3 linked regions of the Notamacropus eugenii genome follow. The protein of the gene in region 3 purifies or fractionates together with the protein of the main gene of each other region. This does not show direct contact. Links are inferred from orthologs where the notes say so. Each region holds a gene or a part of one and is shown on either strand. Other genes may lie near its edges.

Evidence for each region.
Region 1: the proteins of MTA2 (region 3) and BCL11A purify together in Homo sapiens (affinity purification with mass spectrometry; 4 studies listed by BioGRID and IntAct, with this or other methods). This does not show direct contact. The link is inferred for Notamacropus eugenii from reciprocal best matches to the Homo sapiens genes MTA2 and BCL11A.
Region 2: the proteins of MTA2 (region 3) and DNA (cytosine-5)-methyltransferase 1 purify together in Homo sapiens (affinity purification with western blotting; 3 studies listed by BioGRID and IntAct, with this or other methods). This does not show direct contact. The link is inferred for Notamacropus eugenii from reciprocal best matches to the Homo sapiens genes MTA2 and DNMT1.

What each region holds. Positions count from the first base shown.
Region 1 is NC_092872.1:644,360,405-644,368,680, reverse strand, and holds the start of BCL11A (B-cell lymphoma/leukemia 11A), read right to left. Parts: upstream 3,283-8,276; 5' UTR 3,219-3,282; intron 3,192-3,218; exon of another isoform or gene 1,661-3,191; 5' UTR 1,544-1,660; coding exon 1,489-1,543; intron 532-1,488; exon of another isoform or gene 1-531. UniProt on the Homo sapiens protein: Transcription factor. Associated with the BAF SWI/SNF chromatin remodeling complex. Binds to the 5'-TGACCA-3' sequence motif in regulatory regions of target genes, including a distal promoter of the HBG1 hemoglobin subunit gamma-1 gene.
Region 2 is NC_092875.1:79,920,369-79,928,246, reverse strand, and holds the start of DNA (cytosine-5)-methyltransferase 1, read right to left. Parts: upstream 3,283-7,878; 5' UTR 2,925-3,282; coding exon 2,845-2,924; intron 2,642-2,844; exon of another isoform or gene 2,558-2,641; intron 1-2,557. UniProt on the Homo sapiens protein: Methylates CpG residues. Preferentially methylates hemimethylated DNA. Associates with DNA replication sites in S phase maintaining the methylation pattern in the newly synthesized strand, that is essential for epigenetic inheritance.
Region 3 is NC_092873.1:15,725,469-15,732,984, forward strand, and holds the start of MTA2 (metastasis-associated protein MTA2), read right to left. Parts: upstream 3,080-7,516; 5' UTR 2,972-3,079; coding exon 2,944-2,971; intron 2,000-2,943; coding exon 1,932-1,999; intron 1,301-1,931; coding exon 1,207-1,300; intron 1-1,206. Other genes in the region: EML3 (echinoderm microtubule-associated protein-like 3), read right to left, coding at 4,035-4,238, 4,564-4,694, 4,919-5,017, 5,607-5,694, 5,849-5,946, 6,263-6,351, 6,447-6,514, 6,753-6,884 and 2 more. UniProt on the Homo sapiens protein: May function as a transcriptional coregulator. Acts as a component of the histone deacetylase NuRD complex which participates in the remodeling of chromatin.

The sequences.
Region 1 (8,276 bases), on a different chromosome or scaffold from region 3:
AGGCTCCCGCACACGCGGTGCTTGTAAACATTCAGACACGAGATTTTTCCCAATCAAAATCCACTTCCACTTTTTTTGAAAATCTTCCAAAAAATAGTAAGAGGAGGGAATTCCTCGCTCCCTCTCTGTGCAGCCTACAGACTAAGTTTGTAAGAGAAGGGGTTTGGGGGGTTGTGGTCTGATCCGGTTTTTAGTTTGATTTTTTTTCCCCTTGTGCTCAGTGCGTGCGAATTTTCTCCTCTTTTTTGGAGGGGGGAGAGGGAGAGCGGACGGCAACGCTGGAAAATCTCGGTTCAGAGTAGATCTACTGAGGTTTTTAGCTTCTCTGTTTGGGGACAGGAAAAATAAAAATCGTCTTGCATTTTGCCAAGCTCGTTTTGTGTCTTTTGCGGGGCGAGGAGCGGAGGGGGCGGGGAAGGGGAAGGGGCACGTTCCTTGGCCCTGGAGAAAGAAAGCCAGCAAAGAGCTAAGCCAGCACGAGCTGCGGCTGCAGAGGCGGCAGAGGCAGCGGCAGCGGCAGCAACCCAAGCCAACCGAGTCCAGGCAGCAGCCACATCTCCCCCACCCTCCCTTCCCCCAGCCCACCCCCACCCCCTTGCCCCTGCTGCCCTTTAGCGGCAGCGGCGGCGGCTGAGGAGGAGGAGGACGGCGACGACGAGGAGGACGAGGAGGAGGAGGAGGAGGAGGAGGGAGGAATAGAAGGAGGGAGGGAGCGAGGCACAAAAGACAGCGGGACAGACACCCACCTCGGAGCGGAAACAAAAGGAGGCAACGACCGGCCACTTTTACCCGCACGTTGCAAACGCAAACCCTTCGTCTCCCTCTCACCCCCTCTCTCCTCCACCTCTTTCTTTTTCTCAACAAGGCTTCTGGGGAGGAGGGGAGGGGGGACGTCCCCCCTCCCTAAAAGTCCCACTTTTCCATTCATTAGCATTATTGTGATTACTTTCTCTCTGGTCCACACTTGACCATGGGAGCCGGCGTCCGATGTCCAGTCTCACCTCTTTCTTCCCAGGATTTTTTTTAAGCCTTTGACTTTTTTTTTCTTTCCGGCGGTTGGAGAAAGAAATCCCTCTCCCCTTCTCCTGTTCCCCGGGGTTGTCTGGGAGTTACTCTCATTATTATCATTAATTATTTTGCAAAAGGGGGGAGGGAGGAGAAATCCTAGTGTTTCTTTTCGCAAAGAGGAATAAAGAAAAAGAAGGCGAAAAGAGAGAGGAGGGAAGGAAAATAACGAAAAGAGAGGTGCACGCTTCTCCAAAAGTGCAAGCACGGTTGCGGTTTGAGGTGCTGTGGGTTTCCCCCTTTTAATTTCTTTACACCTCACTTAAATGTTGTCTTTTCTCCCCTTCTCAAAAATAAAATGAAACGCATGCACACGCACCCTTTCTTTCCCATCTTCTCTTTGGCACTCCCGACCCTATCATCATCATCCTCATTATCATCATCATCATCATTATTATTATTTATTATTATTGGGTTACTTACGCGAGAATTCCCGTTTGCTTAAGTGCTGGGGCTTGCCTTGCTTGCGGCGAGACATGGTGGGTTGTGGAGTAGGAGGCGGCGGCGGCGGCGGCTGGTGAACTACAGCTCGGTTCACATCGGGAGAGCCGGGTTAGAAAGAAGGAGACTCCAGAGAAAATATCTTCATCAGTGCCTTTTGACATCCAAAATAAATTAGAAATAATACAAAGATGGCGCAGGGAAGATGAATTGTGGGAGAGCCGTCATGGCTTTTTTTTTGGGCAAAAAAAAAAGAGAGAGAGAGAGAGGAGAGATAGAGGGAGAGAGAGAGGGAGAGAGAGAGGGAGAGAGAGAGAGAGATGAAAAAAATGGCAAAAGCCCCCCTGAGCTGCAAGTTCAAGTGCGGACGTGACGTCCCTGCGAACTTGAACGTCAGGAGCCTGGATGGACAGAGACATACAAAACATGGGCAGGGCGAGCAGGAGAGAAGGGGAGGAGGGAAGGGGAGGCTAACACCAATGGACACACATCAGGGGCTGGACATGAAAAAGAGACCAGGACAAGCCAATGGACAGTGCTGGGAGGGGGAGGTGGAGGGGGGGGCTCTCCAGACGCCAGACACAAGCTGCCTAATGGGGGGGTGGGAAGGGAGGAGGTAGTGCTGAGAGGGGGGCAGGGGAGGCGCGGGGGCATGGAGCTCACAAGTGGCCGCAGCCGAGTACAGGAGGAGACGGCATGGCCAGGAGGAAAGAAAAGAAAGGGGGAGGGGGAAGGGAGAGGTGTGTGTTTGGGGGGGAGGGGAAAGTCCTCCCCTCTCTCCTCCACCCTCTAAAAAGAAAGGTTAAAACAGGAGACAGAAGTGCTTAAATAATACGCCAAAGGTGTACGTAGAAAGGGATGAAGACAAACGACAGAGGAGCAAAAGAAGGCGGGGGCGGGGGGGCCGCCGACCAGGTAGAGTTGCTGTAGGACACCCCCCCTCCTTACACACACCCACGTCCCCCCTCCCCAGCTAGCCTCACACACAGCCCCGCGTGCATGCATCCTGGAGCAGAAGTGAAAGCCGATATCAATCTGCACTTCTGAAACTTTTTTCTCCCCCCCCCAAAAAAAAACAGCACGAAAAGAAAAACCAGAAGTTTATAACTGAACTCTGAAGTTACTACCCAAGGAGAAAAGCCCCGAGGTTGGGGAGGGGGTGTTGCGGAGAGTGGTAAAGAATTAATTGCAAAAGAAGTTTGTGTACCGTAGCAGCCAGAAAGGCAGAGGCTCTCAGGAGCCTCGGGCTCCCAGGTTGGGGAGAGAGGAAAGGAGAAATTCTGCGTGTAAAGGAGAGAGGAAGGACTAGGAGATCCTAGAGGTTTGGGGGAGCGACCAGAGAGGGAGATGGGGGGAAAGGGGGAGCCCAAGCTCCAACTCGGCATCTCCCTACTTACCCCCATCCCCCTGCACCCCAAAGGCAGGCAGAATAGGTGGCTAAGGAAGCCTGAGTGCCAAGAGAAGGGACAATGTCAATGAAACTGCAAAGCACGGATCTGAGGAAAGCGAGGTGCTGCGGCCCGGAAAGGAAGAGAGAGAGAAGGGTAAATAAATAAATAAAGACAGGAACACAACTCTGAGACTCAGCGCCGTTACTGACAAGAGTGGGGAAGAGTCCAGGAGAGCAAAATCGTTCAGGAAGGAGCGATAAGCAGCTTGGAGGCGGGAGATGCAGCGGTAACGGCACTAGCTTCGGCCGCGCCGAAACTTACCCTTTAATACTGAGCACCCATGGCCAAGAGAGCAGCCCGCGAGTTGCAAGGTTGTAAGGTACCAGCTGGGGGGGTGGGGGGTGGGGGGAAGGAGGAAAGAAGCGGGGGAAGGGGGGGGGGCTTTGTATGTGTGTGCGTGTGGGTGCCAACTACTCCCCCAAAAAGATTGCCTTTATTTTTTTTTAAATGAAGGATAACCCATCGAGACAAACTAGAAGCAGAGGGGAAACCGATCTGTTGTTGGGATGGACTGGGAGAGAAGAAAAGGACGTCTTCCTCACTCAAAAACTGGGAGTGGGGGAGAGGAAGGAAGGAGGGAGAAACACTCGGAGAATGAATGAATCAATGAATGAATGAATGTAGCTGGAGAAAAGAGAAGCTACACCGTGACTCTAAGAAATATTTTAACACGCAAAGCTGTATTAATGACATTACCCAGGGAGAGGAAAAGAGAAAGGGGAAGAAAACGGGTAATAGGAATCTCACAGTTTGCTCACAAAAGCAGCAGGGAAGAAAAGAAAAGTGGTTGCCAACCTTGCTGGAACTTAGCCCCCTTCCCACAAGCATGCATTCCTCCCTCCCCCCACCGCACCCCGAAAGCACACGGCTCAGATAGCTTTCCTTTCTCCTTTTTAATTTTTTTTTCCCTTGATGAAACTTAGAAATTAGGAGAGACTTGTTGGAAATGAACCCCTGTCTCTTTAATGCTCGTGACCGCGAGCTCGCACACACATACGCACACACAAACACACACACACACACACACACACACACACTCATAGGCTGCTGCTGCCGCCGCCACCGCTGTCAAAAAGCGTGCTTCTCTCTGGCGTGGGATACTTTCAGTTTTACGTAAAATGTACAGCAACAGCACCCCCTACGATTGGAAAGTTTATTCTGAAACGTGCCTGCAAAGTCGTCTCACCTCTGCTCTCCCTAGCTGTGGCACCCAGCCGCCAGACTTTCTTCTGTTCCTCCCCCCACCCCCCAAAAAATGGGAAGTGGGAGGGGGAACAGAAGAGGAAGGAATGGAGTGAAGCCACGGTGAGACCTAGGACCAGACTTGAGTGAGGAGTTTAGGAGAAGGGGGGAGCCGACTGAAGGGAAAGCTGGAAGGGGAGGGAGGTGTGCCCCCTGAATGAATGAGGAGCTGTTTCCTCTCCTTCCCTCAAGGCTCACAGCACAGCCCCTATTTTCTTCTAGCCATTATATTCCCAATCCGGGGGGGCGGGGGCAGATGGGCCCTGTAAAGTGAAATGCTTGGTGGACTTTTTTTGGAAACCTTACCTAAATCTGGTGCTTCTCCAGCTTCAACCACCCCCTGGCTGAGCTGCTCGCCCGCGCGCGCGCGCACACACACGCACACACAGACACAGACACAGACACACACACTGTGCACGCACGCGCGCGCATCTGTACCTTTCAGTCTTGTAGGCTTGCATGCTGCTGTTTAAACGGGTTGTCATCTTCCTAAAGTTTTAAACCGATTCAAAATGACTGGCTTCTCATTCCAAGGAGGCTTCGTGCAGCCTCTGAGAGAAGAAAAGGTTTTTGATGTTCAGGAATAGGAGAGTTGTGGAAAGGAAGGAGTGGGGGGATTGTCTGTGTGCGGTTTGTTGTGCGTGCACGTGTGTGTATGTGTGTGTGCGTGTGTATTTTCCTGTTCTCTGAGAGAGAAAAAACCCTCAAATCCTGTTAAGAATCAGGAAGGAATCATTTGCAGTAAAGCTCTGTAGCACGTACCTGACATGATTTTCCTCTTTTTCATGGGCTCTTCAGAGCAGGTCAGCATCTATCTTACACTACTATCTATTTTTGTCTTGTTCTTTATAAAAACAGCCTTTGAGCTACCAAATGAATGTCATTGCTTGAGTGAGGGGTGGCGGAAAAGGGGGAATGCATTGGGGGAAAAGAAGGTTGGGGGAGTGGAGTGCAACGGAGTGTTCCTTTTCAAAAAATGCACTAAACACAATAAAAGGCATTTTAGGTAACAAAAGCAAACTGTCTCATTCTTTTAGAACCCAGGATTTTCATATTTGATTATTGTACCATCTATCCATAAAAGTCCATATATACAGGAGGCAGATAAGTAGATGTCTGTGTGTCGTGAAAATATATATATATATGATTTATCTATAATGGCGTATATAAAGCTTTTCAGGGCTGGATGTAGTGTAAAAAGTAATGACTTTATTACCTCTGAAAGGTTCTGTGGTTCACATTTAACAGTCTTCTGAATTACAATTCATTACACAATTGTGCGCTCTCTAAAGCCAGCACATATCAGGGCATCTATCTGTGGTTATTTCCAATAAATAACTGGCAACATTTTATTGATTTTCTTTAAAAAAAATCATAGGAAATTAAGCACTTAGTTACAAGTAGGTCTGCTTTATTACTGCACTTGTTTGAGATTCCAGGGGGTTACTTCCTAAACCACATCTTAAAACATACATTAAAAAGCCAATTTTTTGCAGCTGCTTTTCGTGTGTGTCAGTGGAGAGGGAACCAGTAACGTTTCCACCATTAACATATATTTAATTTTACCATCATAAAATGCCCGGAATTAAATGGAAACTCTCCCCTCCCTCCCCTTAAAGCCATATTTCATGCCGTCTGGATTATTAACATGACTGTATTGGCATCTGATCCATACTCCACGAGTACTGCCTTCTTCTTTACCATCCCCGCTGCCTCCTCCCCCACTTCACCTGAAGTTCACTTAACCTTCCAAGGGTGGGGCTGGGGGGGGGAATTTGGGGGGGGGGCTTTTTTAAAAAGGTCTTTTAAGAGTTTGTTTTTTTTTAATGTAAGCCTAGATGAATGATGCAGGTGTTTTGTGGAGGGGGGGTTGAAAGAGAAGCTTAACGAGCACACTTGGATATACAATGAGTATATTTACCGTTCTTGAAGTGGCTTTTGGAGAGTAATAAATTATGACAATATTAAAATTATTTTCTGGCAGTCCAGTTAACTACGTTTAGGGTTGTAAAGCCTTTGCTGATTCCATTTATGTTGTAATTATGGTCCGTGGGCTCTTTCTAAACCTTTGGTGTATACTGTGTATAAACTCTTTGCTAATAGCTCCTTCCCTCCCCCCCCCCCCCCCAATGGGGGAGACTTTTCCCAGGACTTCCTGCAGTATATATTCTGCCTCTGATCTCCGTATTTAATAGCCAAGTTCTGGTTTATGCTTTATAATGTGTTGACAAGTTTTCTAACAGACTTTCTGAAATAATGCACATATATTCACGTCGGTTAGAAACTCCATCGTATTTTTAGAGCTGAGTAGATCTATACCCTAATGCAGTGGGAGAGCGTAAATCATAGAGGATTTCATAGTCCTTTCAGTAGTTTTCTGTATGAAGTATGAGCATCGTGGCCTCCAGACGTAACCTTTTAGAAAAAAAGACAGTGCTTTTATTTTATGGTGTAAAGTGCTTTTAGCTTCAGGGCTCAGAACGTGAATGTGGTCAACAAACAGCTCCTGAAAGTGAGCTTAATACAGTTCCCTGGTCCTAGTGGGGAGGATTGCCTGGCGCTGGGGACTTGAGCTCAGCTGGAGGCGAAAGAGTTAAAAGATCTGTCTCGATGGAAATTACAAGGCTAAAATAAAATATTCATTGCCTGACTTTAGTGGGGTGGGGTGGGGGGACTTTTATTGACTAAAAAATAAATACATACTTTGAAACAATCAGTCCCTGCCTCTCTCCCCTCCCCCATTCTTCACCTCCAATATCTGAGAGATAACAGGACTTGCAATGATCTTTTAAAAGATGCCTCTTTATTCTACCTTGGGAACACTTTTGGGGGTTACTGGAAGAGTTTGTGTATAGGGTTTTGGGAGGATAGAGAAGAGAAGGGGTGGAGTTATTAATATAAGGGCAAATGAAATTTAAGTGGGGGGGCTAAATGGATAGGGGCTGGGACAAGGTAGAAAGAACACCGTCTTCTTGAAAGGAATTGAAATGTGACAAAGGAAAACCACAGAGTGCGGCAGCTCTCCCTTGCTACTTTTCTCAAGATCTACCCTTGTTCAACTATGTACTTTGTTACCTTCTCCCCCAGATTGTGCCTAGGAGCCTGCAGTTCTAATTGTCATTATTTAGGACACTGAGAGGGGTTTACAGAAGGTAGGCTGCATATGAACTTAAACTGAGCAAACCAGACCTCGAGAAGACTTTCTTGTTACAACTTAACATCAGATCCTCTCTCCCTAGCTTTTCCTAGGTCTTTAAAGGACTGTGCAGATCACAAAAATGAGTGGAAATGTTAAATAGCAGAGGGAAAGACTGACTGAGCTTGAATCGTGTCCTCAAACTGTCCCCTAATTCATGTTGGGGGTGCGGGGAGAAGGTATAGGAGATGTATAAGAAAACACAATCTTGTCCATATAACTTCAGTACACCTCAGTACACCAGCAACATAATCAGTTTCTAATACATTTTTGTTTTTATTTGCATTGGGTTCCCAATTCTCTTGTCAGGACTCTAGGAACATGAGTTTTGCTTTTTTTTGTTTGTGTGTTGATTTGGTTTGGTTTGGTTTTTTATGCATTTGTTACTTCTGTGTGACTGTGGCCAAGTCACCTTACTTTCTCAGTAAAATGAAATACTAATGGAAATACCTACCTTGCTTTGTTCTAATTAAAGGACACACTGGAAAGCCCTCTAAAAACAGTAAAGTGTTATTCACATATAAAGGATCATTATCATTTAGAGATTAGCATTTATTCTTAAATACTGAACCTAACTAAGCTACCGAAATTTTATATAGGAAGCAATGTCAATAGAAAAAATGCCAATCCATCTGCTTTCTTGCTCCACTAGATAATTGAACACACACTCTCATAACTTTTGTACAGTACATCACAACCTCAGTGACACCCTAACCTATACAAGTTACATTATTTTCCCCAGAAATCATCAGTACTTTGCTCAAGCAAACTTTAGTCTGTAAATGTGAATGAATGTACCTTTAAATCTAAGAGTAATGAGCTTGGACACACCTGTCCCATCTATGGCTAAAGCTGAACAATTACGATGTCAAGCAAGCTGT
Region 2 (7,878 bases), on a different chromosome or scaffold from region 3:
CTAACTACAAATACAACTATGAGTATAATAATTATTACTATATACAACAGAGTTTAGTACTCTCTGGAGGTCCCTTTCAGTTGGATTTACATGCCTGAAAATTAAAATGATACTTATACTATTACCACCTTGTTCTTCTAAAAGTCATTTCTGAATCCCCTACTCTCCACAGAATATTGGACTACATTTGGGTTTTATATGGATAGTTATAAAGATCCCAGGTCTAAGGGGAGGGGAGACTATGGATAATGATAAGTCAAATAATTACAATAATAAAAGAATGCAAATGAAAAGCTATTTAAAAACCAATTGGAAGAGGGAAGGACATTGTAGTGGAATCAGAGAAGGCCTATGATCCCAGTCCTGATTCTGACATTGGCTATGGAGGCCCCTTTTCATTCTAAGATTAGTATATATCCTATGTATTTTACAGGGTTTCTCTGAGGATAGCACATTCTAACCTAAAAAGCACCAAATAAATGCGAACTCTGGAGCTATCCTCAGTCTCATTTCAATACTCGAAGTTCTTAGGCAGAAACAGGACAATCACTTCTCAGGGATACTGAAAACCTGACCAGCTCACTCTTGGTAGTGTTAAGACCAATGATCAATGAATGTCCCTTCTAACTCTGCATCTCTGATATTCTAAAAGTAATCCTGAAATGAAAAGTGTTTTCTCTTTTCTCACTAAACCATGTTCTACTAATTCAGTGTGGCATCTGAAAAGAGTAACTGAGCAACTTACAACTGAATGAATATATGTAAGAATTTTCTAACAAAGCAAGGTCAGAAGATAGTAAATTCCCTATCAAAATATCAAATGGAGGTATTCAACCCAGAACTTGAACTTAGCAGAGATGGGGATGAAAGAGAGGGGGAAGTCATTAATCAGACAGGAGGTAAGCCTAGAAGACTTTCAAGATCCATTCTAAATATATGATTCAAAGTGACTTGCCCAAAGTTACCTAGAAAAGTAACAGATACAGAACCAGAGCAGGTCTTCCAACCCCTAATCCAAATATTAACAAAACTAAGCAAAATCTTACCTATTCTCATTATTGTACTTTGCATACTATGATACAAAGTGATCCTCAAGTTTTAAGACAAATTGTAAAGAACTCTCACTTTGAATTGTTTAAGTTGAGAACCTAGGGAGGATACCAAGAAATCAGAAAGAATTTGCTTTAAGGTCTCTAAGCACAATGTGTAAAATGTTTCTATACCATCTCTCTCAAACACAGCACTCTAAACTCATCAACTAAGATTTAAAACTCATTCATTTCTTCAGTGCCTTGATGAAAATAACATCAAAGCATAATTAAATAGGTTTTTCTTTTTGGTGCTAGGAGCTGTGTCTCCCTCTTAAAACAATATTTAAAATAACATCAAGTAATCAGATACCTAATATTACACTTTGAAGATGTATGATACCAAGACCTTACTAATCATAGCAACTCTTGCGATGTAAGTAAGTATTTTCTCCTCCCTGAAATGGGGACAAGTGAGGGGGAGATTTAGTTTGTTGCCGAAGGTCACCTGGTGAATCACTGGAGAGCCAGGATAAACTTGAAGTTCTTGGCTCTAACCACTAAACATGGTGGCAAAAATCTCAAAGCCACCCAATAAGAATACACTTTTTAAAAATGAGATGACACTCGGGGTCCGCAGAAAAATTCCTGCCAACGTAGACGAGGCAGTTGACCTCTGTGCTAATCACTTTAGTTACCTGCACATGTTCATAATCACCTTCCAAGAAAAAAATAAAACCATAAATTACAGTAACAAACAAAATAATCACGGGTTATCCTTCCACAATAAAGACAATTGTAACTAATTAATTAGTTGTAATGGCACTGGAAAGAAAGAAAGCAAACCAACGACTAGATCCGCGAGAAGGGTCCTTCCCAGAAACCTTGTATTAGCTATCATAATTACCCACAACAGACACAATCAAACGCTACCAGTCAATCTGCAGGGAAACACGATAAAATAATCCTTCTAAATGAGTGATTCTGCTATTAATTTCATGAAAGAGACTAAAGACGGCTCCAGGGGGCATTTCACGTGTCTTCACAGGCACCAGGGACAAACCGAGGAGAAATACCAGCCGGGTACTGATCCTGCGGTAGGGGAAACCCATGCCTGGGGCAGTTCTCCCGTCTCCACCTCGTGCCCCAAGAATGAATGCCTCAGGAAGGGAGGCCGGGGCAAGCCCACCCCGACCCAGAGGATGGAGGGGGAAGGCCCCATGGGGGCTGGGGAGGCCTGCGCCCCGGCTCTCGCGTGGGTCAAATGCGGCCTCCCGGCTGCAGCCCCACGTCCCAGACGACCATTCCCGGCCCCCGCCGGGGCACGAGCAGGCGATGGGGGCCCCCCAGGCCGGGCCCCCCACTTCCTGTCACTGGCACCGCCGGACCCCGGCGCCTCCGCCTTCACGGGCGCCCCCCAACGCCCGCAGCCTAACCGGGCTCCAGCTGACAGCCCAGCCCGGGGGCCAAGGCCACGGGCAGGTCGGAGCGGCCCCAGGTCCGGGCCGCCCCTCTCCCTCCTCACGCACCTCCGCGACCCGACACGGCGTTTTGGCGCCAAATGTCCCGGGGAGCGGGGAGGGCGGCAGCGGCAGCTACGCCGGACGGGGCCCTCGCGGACCGACGCCCCCGGAGGGGACCCGCGGCCGCGAGCCCCGCCAACGGCCAACCGCCGGGGCGCGCGAGCCCCGCGCCCCGACTTGGAGCCCGACCCGCCTCCGGCCCGGCCTGTCAGGCGGCCCGCGCGACGCTACACCGGCCCAGCCAGGCCCAGCGCGGCCCGAGCCCCGGCAGTCCGGGGGCGAGCGGCACTTACCGTCTGCGGACCTCCTCCGGCAGCGGGAGCCCGGGCGAGCCCGGCGCGGCCACCGGGGCCGGACCGGTGCGGGCGGGCATCTCGCGGGTCCGAGTGGGGAGCAGGGAGCGGGCCGGGGGACGGAAGGGAGCCGGCTCCGGTCGCGCAGGGGCTAGCGCGCGGACCGCCGGCTTTTCGCGCGGAAACCAGAACCGCCGAGAGGGGAGGGGGAAGGGGGAGAGGAGAGGGATATACCAACTGGGAAGGGGGTGGCTGGCCGGCGACGGGGTGCGGGAGCCGAAGCGACCATTCCGGGAAGGACGGTACCAAATGTAAGTCCCGGCGGGGGGAGGCAATTGGAAATGGAGGCCCCCGCCCCCCGCTCCGACTCCCCTCCCCTCCGGGGCAGTCCCTTCGGCTCCCCGCCTCACGCGGTGCTGCAGGGGGAGGGGGAAGGAGGAGGTCGGTGGGCGTCATCCCGTGGTGCCCGAGGGGAGAGAGGAGCGGCCTGTACCATCGGCGGCGAAGAGAGAGGGGGAGAAGAAATGGACTGGCCCAACGTGCCTCTCGGGAGCTCCGAGCCTAGGATGAAGAAGAGGGGAAAGGCAGCCATTAGATCCTGAGCCCTGCAGAGGAGGATGAGTCCTGGGGACCCAGATCTCCCTCCGGGTGGGAGCTGAAACTCGTCCGCCGCAGCCTGTCTGCTTAGCCTCTGCCTGCTGGTCATCTACTGCCTCCATCCCGGCCGTCCCTTGTCTCGCTAGCCCGGGCTGCTGCGGGGCTGGCCGCTCAGCCCCTACCTGTTTGGGCAGCCCCTGCCTATGGGCAGCCATTCATTCAGTCTTGTTCACTCCTGCCCTCAGTCAGACCGTCTGTCCGGACACTCACCTGTGTGATGGTCACTCCCCGTCAGCGTCCAATACTGCGTGGTGATCTGTGTCAGTCAGTCTGTCTTATCTGTCAGCATCTGTCTGTTCAGTATCAATAACTCTGTCTTATTCAGTCAATGTCCCCATGGTAGGATTGTAGGATTCAGAGCTAGAAGAGACCTTCCAGATCATCTCATCCAACCCCCTTATTTTACAAAGGAGACAACTGAGGCAACGAGGTCAATCAACTTGTGTTGTTAGGCTGGGTCGGTATTAGTCAGTCAATGCAATTCATTAGTTCCTATTATCCATGTGATAATGCTGGATCCCTAGGAGTCAGCAGACTCCAAAATCTTATTGTCGCTGATTAACTGGCCCCCATTCTAGTAAACCTGTGGCTAAGGAATCTTGAAATGACTCAGAAGAAAGTGGTAATTGAGAAAGATACCTGGCCTATAAGAAAGTCTGTTGACAAGCTAAAACACCCCCCAAAACGCAGGATGGACCTGGGTCCCCAGGTTGTTATTATTAGACTCAAAATATTAGTGTTCTCCATTTTCAGAGATTCTTTAAAAAGCTCTGGGCTTGAATCTGAAGCCACCCATCCCATAATTGATCCCTTCTTGGTCACTAAGGGAAAGGAAATTATCCAATGGTCTGGCATTCTAGGCTGTTAATGAGTAAACTTTGGAAAGGTCCCTGCCTAGCCTGGGTGGAAAAGATGTGCAGAACTAGAAAAGGCTTCAACTAGCCTGAGAGTTTGAACAATGCTTCCTGTTCCCAATTACAACCGCCTGCTGTGTTCCCAAGGGTAGAGGCAGAGTTCAGAAGTGGATCAAGAATCTGAGTTTCAGCCAAACCAAGGTCAGACTCAGTGGGAAATGTACATTGCCAGTGACATAGTGGTCAGTCAGCCAGGAGACCAGTGGAGCTGAGTCACCAACAGTGCAGTAGGTTTAGTCACCCACATGGACTGACAGCTTTACTGAGCTCCCTCTCCCAAAGGTAGAGGAGAGTAAATGTAAACAAGTGCAGGGGCCCAGAACTGACAGCACCACCCCTTCTCAGCCCAACAGAACCACATCAGCCTGCAGGGTGTCTGCTCCTGGGATTTGCCCGATCCTGTTCCCATATCTCTGACTCAAAAGACCTGTAGAGATGAATTTTGCACAAACTGATGCCCTCACTGAAATGTAGCAGAAAAAAACAGGTGGAATACCCCCTCTTACCTGCTGAACTGGGTATTCTAGTCTTGTCTGGGGCCCAGAAAAGGCTTGAGAGGTGTGTGTATGGAGGGGTGGGGGATAGGATCAGGTTTCCTGACCTATCCCCAAACTATGACATGGGGTGTGGAACCAGACTTTCTCCAGAACATTTTGTATCCAGGCTCAGTTCCCCACTTTTTTCGGGGTTGGGCTTATGGGAACCACTCCTTCCTCCAGAAAATTGGACATTCCATCTCTGTGGGGCCATTCTGGGTTAAAGAAAACTGACCCAAAAGTCCTTTCCATCACTGGGAGCTGGGGGCAATGTTGCTGCCATTCTACAGAGGGGGAAATTGAGGCACAAAAAAAGAGGGGAACTACAGAACTCAATGGCTCCTTTTAAAATGTGAGTTTCCAAGTTCCATAACCAAGCATCTCTTCAAAACTCCCCCCCACACTTGTAGCCCCACCCAAATGCCATGTGGGATTGTGTCCACTGGAGGAGCTGCTACCCAGTGCCTCTGGCCAACAGCTCAAGTTTCTAAACAAAGTTGTCTCCGAGCTCCCCTTCTTCCTGACCTTAAGGGGGTGGGAGGCCCTGGGAAGGTTTAGTCTAGAAAGAGTGTGCAGCTGGGTCAAGAGAGAACTGTGAGGGTCTTTCTGAAATTCAGCTCTTTTTGTGTCTACATGTATTGGTTTTCTTTTTCTAAATGTACCTTGTGCATGCAGTACACTGTGTCTCCTTTTTTTCTGTGCCTATATATAGGTATACTTGGAAATAAGTATGTGGGTTTGTCTTTGGGTTTGTCTCTTTCCACATATTCCTAAGAGCATTCCTTGTGTCTTTGGTTGTATGTTGCTGAGTGTTAATAGAGAACTAAGGCTTTATGACCTGAAGAATTAATTATTCTTCTTACCACTGTGGGAAACAAGGAAGTTCTGTTTCCACAGTCATGACCTAGGATGGTCAGGTAAAGGTCAGAAACCTCACAGGCTTGATGAGCTGTTTGAAGGAAAGCCCATCACAGAGAACATAAAGTCACATGACCAGGGGACAGTGTCGAGGGAGATCCAAAGTTCGGAAAACAGTATAAGAAGTTCCATTTTCCTGAACGTGTTATAGTCATCCTGTAACCTTACTGGGGAGGCTACCTGTCCATTCAGGGGGAATGGATGGAAGTAAAGATTAATAAAGGCTTTCCTGGCTTCACAACAGGCATTGTTCCTTTTTTAAGGAAAGCATGTTTCTCACAGTTCGGGGCTTGTAAGATGGGCTCATTTCTCACACCACCTTCATCCCAACCCCTGTCCCATCTGTCCTGAACTCTTTCAGAGGAAATCCATGGTTCACCCTTAGGAGCTGCCTCACACTATGCCCAGTGTAAATGGAAGGAACCAAGGAAGTTTTCCTAGGACCCAAGAAGGAGGCTTGACTGGGGAGAGGTTCTGGAGAGACCATTCACTATAGCTATACATCTGGAGCTTTTCTGTGACTGGAGTTGGCAGCCTTTACCTTCCTGTGAGGTTGAGGGGATGTGGGAGTGGTAGTAGTGGTGGTGGTGGTAGATGGGTAGAAAACCACTGCTCTTCTTTTCCCCCAAAATTCTGGTCTTTATTGGTGGCTGGAAAGGATGCTAGGGACCTGGATACCTGCGTTCTTCTCAGCTGTCCTTGGCAAGATGTGGTCCTGCCCTGTGCTTCAGTTTCCTCAGAATCCTCTATTGAGGCTGAAGAGGGCAAAAGGCTTTGTCCTAGAGGAATGCCCTGCTAATGGGGGGAGGTGGGGAGGAAATCTGTCTCTTCAGGGAGTGGCCCAATATGTATCAAACCAGCCTCCTGAGAACATGGTGTTCCTGACTTTCTCGAGTGTCCATTCAGCTCTCCTGTCCTACTGACAAAGCCATATGGAAAAGTCCCTGGATAGCAGTAAGTGGTAGGGATCAATAAAATCATTACAGTCAGTTTTCTTTGGGGGATGGCTATCCAGAGTGAAGGACAAGCCTGTGGGGGGGTCTGTCACTGACCTTCTGTTCTTAGAAGCACCAAGATCCTGTCTTTGGAGTATGGGGAGGGACCTGGCAGAAGCAAGAGAGGAGGAGGGTTTCTAGGGCAGCAGAGTCAACAAGTCAACAGGTAGCCTAGGGAGGCTGAGAAAAAAGGCAGGCTGGGGTTGGAGTGGCCTCTCCAGCTCAGACAGCCCCACCCCCCCCACCTCCCCCAGCAAGGAAAGAATGTGTGTGTAGAGGGGCCTACCCCTCAAAGCCTGAAGGATAAAAGTCTTATTTCGCCTTTAGAAGCAGTACCCAAGCAGAAGACAGGGCTCAAAGTGGAAACTCTGAGAGAAGTCAAACTGAACCATTTAATCAGCCCAAGGTCAGAGGCTGAGGGAAGGGAGAGGCATGAGGGATTTCCCAAGAAGGCAGACATAATACAGGGTTTGTTCCTCTCTCTTCTTTTTATCTTCATTGCAGTTGTCTTTGGCAAAAAGTCTCCTCTCAAGAGTCCTATTAGGAAGGACCCTTTTGCCCGATTAGTGGACTATAGGTAGCCAGCAAGATCCCTGCCCCCTCCCACCCCCAATGGGAATGACTTCCTTGTCATAACACAAAAAGCATTAGACGGGAAGGAGAGAACTGTTTCCCCCTCCCCTTGAGTTTTCAACAAAGACCAGAGAAACAAAAATGTGGAATATTCGAACTACAAGTCACTGAGGAAAAACAAGGGAGTGGAGGGATGGAGACACACATACACACACAGAAGCACTCGTACTCTCACAGGCATAAATATACATGGTCACTCGTACCGTTTGATTCCCTTTCATCCACAGGATTCCAGGTTTTCTTCTGCAGAGTTGGGGGTAGGGAGGGGGAGCAGCCTCAGGGCATTTATTCTTCCAATTTCATCTGACTTGAACTGGGCAATAGCCATTCTGCTAGGGTTAAAGGTCTCACATGTTCTAGGGGATTTGATACCTTGTGGGA
Region 3 (7,516 bases):
AGGTTATACCAGGCTGTGCCTCCCCAAGCAGGTCCTCAAACATCACAGGCCTCCCCCCCTACCCCCACTCCCTCAACCCCCTGACAAAGTAGGACCTGCAGAACCTAATGTCACTTGTTCTTTATCTGAATCCTAGTGTTTATCTTTCAGAGAAAACTCCCACCCCAACATTAACACTATCCCTCCCCTACCAAAGGCCTCAAGCTGGCTAAGCCCAGCTGTAAAGTGTTAACAGGGATGGGTGCCAAGCAAAGGAGAAAGGGGCAGGATAACAACATAGCAAGAAGCCCAGACCCATAGGCCATTGTTTCAACTACCAGGGAGAAGGGGGGGTGGGGAAGGAGTTGGCAGCTGACTCCTCCCCTTGCCTGTGCTGCGGAAACCCAGGGCTAAGGCAAGGGGACCACACCCCCCAAACCCCTTCTGATTGGACAAAGCCAAGGTCAGTCCCTGCCAGATGGGGCAGTAAACCCCAAGGGGCTGTGAAACTTGGAGAGCCTTGTTCCCCATTAACCCTTTAGTGCTGGAACCTTGGTCTAAAAAGTTGAAAACAGACATATCAATGGAAAGAAATCAAAAAGGAAAGGGGGGGAAGAATGATAGAGATGAATTATTACTGGGAAAAGAAAGGGAGAAAGAGGAAAAAGGAAGTGAGGGAGAGAAGTTAGGAAAGGGAAAGAGGGAGGAAGAGAAGAAAACAAAGAGAAGGAAGATGAAGACAAAAGCAAAAGAAATGAAATTCAGGAGTTTCTTCCTCTTCCCAAAGCCTCCACCCTGTGAAGACCAACTCCTTCAGTATTTAAACAAACCACAGCCCCTATCCTAAGGCAGGACACATGGTGTGTTTGGGACTTCCTTCCTCTTCACTTACCCTAACACAATCCTTCTCATTATAACTCTAGTTCATTCAAAACTTACCCACAAGTCCTGATTTCTCTATGATTAGATTCATTGTTTCTACCCTCCATAAAACCTCCCATTTCCCACTGTCCTCTCCTCCTGAAAACACTGGCTCTCCTCATCACGTTCCTCCTCCATTCTACTTTTCTGACATGTGAAAACAAGCCCTAACCCCTCCATGTAGACCTGCTTCCCCCATCCCAAAATTCATCCCCCCCCCCCCAGCCTTGGTCAGGAAACCAGAGGAAACACCTGCAGAGACCTGCCCAGACCTGAGGACATGAAGGAGGGGGAAGAAAGACTCACTGGCATTGCTGTCAGCCAGGCTATTGAGGCTGCTAGAGATGTCCCGTCTTCGGAAAAGGCAGACAACTTTGGCCTCCACGTTCCCATTTGCAGTCTAGGAAGAAAGAGCAAAGTGGTAAAACCGGATGTTAGAGAAAGTAGGTATGTCTAAGGAAAAGGGGCCAGTAACAGGGAATATATATTAAGCACTCACAGATAAAACGACAAAAGACCTCAAGAAATTATGTGCCCAACAGAGTGCAGCTCAGTCTCAGAGCCTCCCAAGTCCCCTCCCACCTAAGGAGCTCCGAACTAGGCCTGGGCCAAAATAAACCCAAGCAAGGACACTTTGAGAAGCACACATCTAGAAAGGACCCAAGGCACTCCATTCTAACCACCCAGAAGACCACCAATACTGTCTAAAAGTGATTGACCAGTCTTTACCAGTAGACTCCAGTAAGGAGAAACTGGTTAATCCTGAGGCTACCCATTCATTCTTGGATATCTGAGAACTGGAGCTTCTGCTTAGGAAGTCTGTCCTCACATTGAGTGGAAACCTACCTTTCCCTAACTTCTGCCCACTGCCCCATGGAGGCCATGCTGAGGAAGTGGAGTTGACAACCACCCACACAAAGAACAGAAGCGCCATGTGTGCCTAGATTAACCTTCAGCTCACATTCTCAGATGTGCTTCCTGGTGAGGATTCAAGCCCCTTCTGACCTCCCCCCACACACACACAAGCTCACCTTATTGAGCTCCTCAATCCTTCTCACCAGGTAAGGATTGCTGGAGGAGTTCTCAAAATAGACGTAATCTGCAGTGGGGAAGAGCCAGGAGGTCAAGAGGGGGAAGCCTCTCAAAGCCCTGAGTGAGGGAGGAGGGATGCAACAGGAAAAAAGAAAGAGGGAGGGTGGAGACCCTCTGGGGGTCTCCCATCATCACATTTACTAGGTTCTGGACGTTGGCTATCCAATGGCAAACATCAGAAGCCAGCGAGCACTTTAGCCCGGGAGTGCTGACCAGGACATGGGCAGCCTGTGGCCTCCAGCCACCCCTGCCCACGGATTCTGGGCCAGGCTTAGCTAGCTCTAAGGCAGGGCAGGCGCTGTCCCTTTGGATCCGGAGGAGGACTCAGGATAGGGGTTCGAGCCGGTAAAGCCCGGGTTCAAATCGAACCTCCAGCACAGAGGAGGGAAAGTGACTGGGGCTGCTCAGGTGGAAAGGGTCGGGGGGGCTTTCCTGCCCTGGGACACCCGAAGCTCTTTACATCCGAACTCAGGTCCCGCCCATCAGACGGAGGGCCAAGGAGCCTCCCAATCGCCCGAGGCGGATCTGGGCAGGAGTTCTGCCCCGCGGGCAGCGCTGTCGCTATAGGGGATCCCGGAGCCAGCCAGGGCCCTATGGTGCCAGAGGTGGGGCGTCTGAGATCTGCCCTGGCACTCAGAGCACTGAGCCGGACTAGGTGACCAGCAGCCCAGAGCGCCCCGGGCCTCACTCCGCCCCCCTGCTGTGGCCTCGGCGGTCAAGTTCACCCACTTAAGTCTCGTTGCGCACCCCCCCCCCCGCCTGGGACCCCCCATGGGTAGGGGGATGGCAGCGCATGCGTCCTCTCTTACCGGGACCCCCGGCAAGGCTCCCCGTGCGCGCATGCGCCCCTCTCGTGCCGCCCCCCCCCCCCCCCAGTCGCCCGGCCCTCCCCCCCGCCGGTCCCGGTAAGCTCGTGCCGGTTCCAGCGGAGCCGGGGCGCGCGGTACTCACCCCCCACCCGGTACATGTTGGCCGCCATGGCCGCCCGACGGGGCCCGCGGGCGCCCGGCTCGGCCGCAGGGAGACCCCGGCGCTGCTCGGCCCTGCTCGGCCCCTGCCCCGGTCCCGGCCCCGCCGCCGCCGCCTCAGCCCCGGCTCATCCCGCGCCGCCGCCGCCGCCTCCCGCCCAGGACGCGCCGAGGCCGGCGCCGGGCCCGCTCGGCTGCTTCCGGCCCCCCCCCCCCCCGGCCCAGCGTCCCGGGTCCGCGGTTCGGTTCGTCCAAACAGAGCCCTGCCTCAGCGCCGAGCCCTTCCGGAACCCTTCCGGCTGCGCCCGAAGGACGGGCGCCCGCGCTTCGGCCACTTCCGGAGGCGCTTCGGCTCTTTCCGGCCCACGGCCTCTGGCGCTCGGGCATTTCCGCCTCCTCGGCCGGGAGGGGTGGGGCCGGGAAGGAGGGGCGGGGCCTAGACTTTAACCCTTTCCTCGCCTCAGCCTTGCAGCCCGACTCGCGGCCGCAGCAGGGAGAGTCGGACCTTTGCATACCCTTTGCTTTTCATTTGCATGGGCCCCGTTGGTCTTTTCTTTTCCTGGTTTGGTCCAGCCCCAGCTCAAGCACACTCCACTGCCCCACTCTGGTCAATCCTGGACCCTGAGAGCGGGGATCGCCCTTAGGGAGGGAGCACCGCGTCCAACCACCCTGCTGGTACCGAGTAGGAGACTAAGGCAGCCCCGAGGAAGTCCTCCAGCCCTGCTCTCTAACTTCCAAACCAGGGATCTCTCTAACCCTACCCCATGCCACCACCACCCCTCCCCGCCTTTCCCCTGCAGAAGGACACACGGGACGCTGCAGAGGGACTTGGCATCTGTTTTATTGACCCTGCTCGGGTGCAGGGTTGAGGAGGAGGGCGGGGGCTGCTCGGCTCAGCCTGCGGTTCTGTACAGTGTTGGGGGGTCCCAACGCCCCTCCCCGACCGGGAGAAGGCACGGAATGCAACGAAGTTGGAAGAGGGGGCTCCTGGTCCTTGGGAGGGGGATGGGGGCGATGGGAGGTAGGGGGAAAAGCACCCTCTAACCCCACCCACTCCATCTAGTCCTAGTGGGGTCAGGCATCCAGCGAGGAGGCGGGGGAGAGGGAAGGGGTGCGGGAGGGTGTCAAGGGGGCTGGTCCAGGGCCCCCACCACTCAGCATGCGCCACTGGAAAATGCTCGCATCCTTTCCTCCCAGTGAGATGAGGTGAGAATCGTCATGAGTGAACCGGACACTGGTGACGTGGCTGCCATGACCTCCGTACTTTCGGCTGGGGGCCTAGCGGTGAGGGTGGGGACAGAATGGGAAGAAATAGGTGGAATCTAGCCCAGTTATGCAGGACTTAGAACTTAGATATCACCATTTAACAAATGAGGCAACTGAGTCTCAAAGGAAGCGACTTGCCCAAGGTCACAGGGCCAGCAATTAAATCCTAGTCTCTTTACTCCGGAATGATGTGTCTCTTGGAGTCCCCTGCCTCTTCTGGCTTCGACTCACACCCCTCTTCCTCACCCCCACCCACTCTTCAGCAGCTCTCGCACCCTTCTTCCCCGCCAGCCCCTCCCCTGGCCTCTGAGTGGGTGAGGTGGAAGAGACCCCTCACCTTGGCCCGGGCGCACGGGTACAGAAACAGATGCACTTTGCAGAAGTCATCCGCTACTGCGACCACTCGCTCATTGTGGGACCGGCACAACGAGTTGATGTCAGTCCCGTCAGATCCGTCCGGCCACACGCCTACCAAGTCAAGCCCTCCTCATTCCTGCTTCCTCCTCCTTCCAAGCTCCCACATTCCCAGCCACCCACAGGTATTGTTCTCGGACATTCCGGGACCCACAATGCGGCATTGTCGGCCCCGATGCTTCTGACCTTTCCCTCCACCCAAGGGCAGTGGTTCTCAGTGTTGTAACACTGCCCTCCTCACAATATTCCCAGCTGCCTTCACCAGGCTTGGTGCTCACCATACACATGGAAACCCAAGACACACGTATAGGTTGCCCACTCGCGATCCCGGCTCTCATACCGATTTCTCAGCAGCTTACAACCCCCTGCCACGTCCCCTGAGAGGAAGGGAAGGAGGGAAGCTCCACTTAGGTCAGTCCCTTTCCATCAACCCAGCTAACTGAAGAAAATAAGGCCAGTCCAGAGGGGTTTGGGCTCCAGATCCTGGCAAATCCATGTTCTGGAAGTCACCCCTCTCACCCAATGCCCCTGGAAAATTTTTCTATAAATGCCTTTGCTTAGCACATTTTCCATGGATTAGGTTGATGAGATGATAGGATTTAGAGCCAGAAAGAGCTTTAGAAAACAGAAATATCAAATGTCAAACAGGAAGGGACCTAAGAGCACATAACTAAAGCACTCAGAGGGACCTTAAAAGCTAGAGTATTGGAGCCTAGAGGGAACTTAGAACCTAGAACGTCAGAACTGGGACAGACCCAAATCTCACTTTATAGATGAGCAAATGGAAAGCTGAAGAAAGGAAGTGACATCCTCAGAGTTCCCAGAGAGTAAGTAACAGAGCTGGGACTCAAACCCAGGATTCTGCCCCCAAATTCCACAGTCCCCCATCACCACCACCCTAGCTCTGAGTCATAGTGGGGGAGAAAACTTGACCCCAGTGACCCACCCCTGTGAACCCCTCCTCACAGTAGAGGATCTCGTAGTCCCCAGAATTGGACATGATGAAATTGCCATCCTTGGACCAGTCTAGGTGGGTGATGAAGCTGGAGTGCCCCTGGGGGAAGGAAGGGTAGAGGGCTGTCCAAAATGGAGCCTTCAGTTCCCACTCCAGTCCCAGGCCATTCTCTAGGAGAACTGTGAAGAGCTGGCCTGCCCCTACCACCACCAGCACCCCACCACATCCCACTCTGCTCATAGGGCACACTCACCGTGCATCGGCCAAACCGGCTGCACTTGGACCCATCACTGGACACACTATAGATATAGATCATGTTGTCGTGGGAACCAATGGCCAAGTAAATCCCATCTGAAGGAGTCAGTCAGTCAGTCAGTCAGTCAACAAGCATTTCTTAAGGGCTTACCTATGGGCCAAGCAGTGTGCTAGAAGCAGGAGATGTAATGAAAAGCAAAACTACAAAACCAAAACCAAACAGTACCTGCTTTTGAGCTTACCTTTGAATAGAGGAGACAAGGGGCCAGCAATCATGTATGTCAAAAAGAGGTATAGAATAATTGGAAGGTAATGTCAGAGGAAAGGAACTAGGATGGGGGTTGGGGTGGGAAGAAGGCAGGTCAGAGAGAGAAGCCTCTGGATGGGGGCAGGGGGTGGGAGAGGCTCTCACCTGGACTATACCTGACAACTGAGAGCTGCTCATTACCATCAGTGAAATCAGACACAATCTCTCGAGTCTCTGTGTCCAGAACCAGCCACCTGGGGTCAGAGAAGGCCATGAGGCCAGTGGCTAACGGCCCATCACCACCCCCAACATCTCCTCTTCCATCCCTCCTCCCCCTTCCCCTTCTCACCTCCCAGTGTTGAGTCCCACAGCCACAACTTTCCCACTGGGGTGGAAGTCAGCACAGAGACCCGTCTCCTGGAGGGGGAGGGTGGTCAGAGATGGAAGGCTGGGGTTGGGATTCAAGGAGATACTTTTCTCATGGGGGGAACCCACCAGATCACCCCGCCTGTTGATGAACTCAAAGCCCATCTCCCCTCAATGCTTCTCAAAGGGAAGGAAGGGCTAGCCCTGGGAGAGATGACTGGATTCCCTAAAGATTATGGGGGAGGTCAGGGAAGGGGGTCTCAGGAGATAAAGTTCATGGCAACAGTACCTTAAGATCAAGGCTCCAGGCCAGAGCGTGACACTCCCCATCCCACAGACAGAGCTGCCGGTCATGGCCACAGGTAAGGAAGCGGTTCAGGGAGGGGTGAGTACAGAGACCCCAGAGTTCATCAGTGTGGCCCTATGGGATACAAGGGCTGGATGACATTATAGGATCTCCTCACTGCCCTGCCCCACACTCCTCTGGCCCCACACAAACACTAACCTGGATAACAGGGGAAAAGCCCTGAGTCAGGTCTCCCCTCAGCAGCGCATTCTTTGTGGTCCCTACCAGCAGCTCTGAGCCCAGCCCTTCGGCAATGGCACGGACAGCTCCGAACTGTTCTGGGATCTGGAGGTGGGGGATGTCCATATCTCAGGAGGAAAGAAGTCCCTACAACCTTCCTCCTGCTCCCCAGCCCCATCTACCTCAGTTTCTCTCCTTCCCTTCCCCCATCTCCAGTCCCAGTCTTACCTCAGCCTCCTGGAGGGCAGTGAGCCCAGGCCCCCACTGAACCAGCCGTCGATCCCGCCCACCCCCGCTCAGCACAGTCCCGTCCCTCAACAGACACAAAGCGAAGATGGAGCCCTCGTGGGCTCGGGTCTGAGCTACGATCCCAAACGTCTCTGTGTAGAGGAGAGAGGGCCAAGATTGGTGGGATCAAGGTCACTGGGAAGGTCATGATACAGTGAAGGGGGAAAGAAGGATGGACTGAGGCCAAGCCCAGGTATAACGAATCCTTTAAAGCCTATAATGTAAGAGCTGGAAGGGGC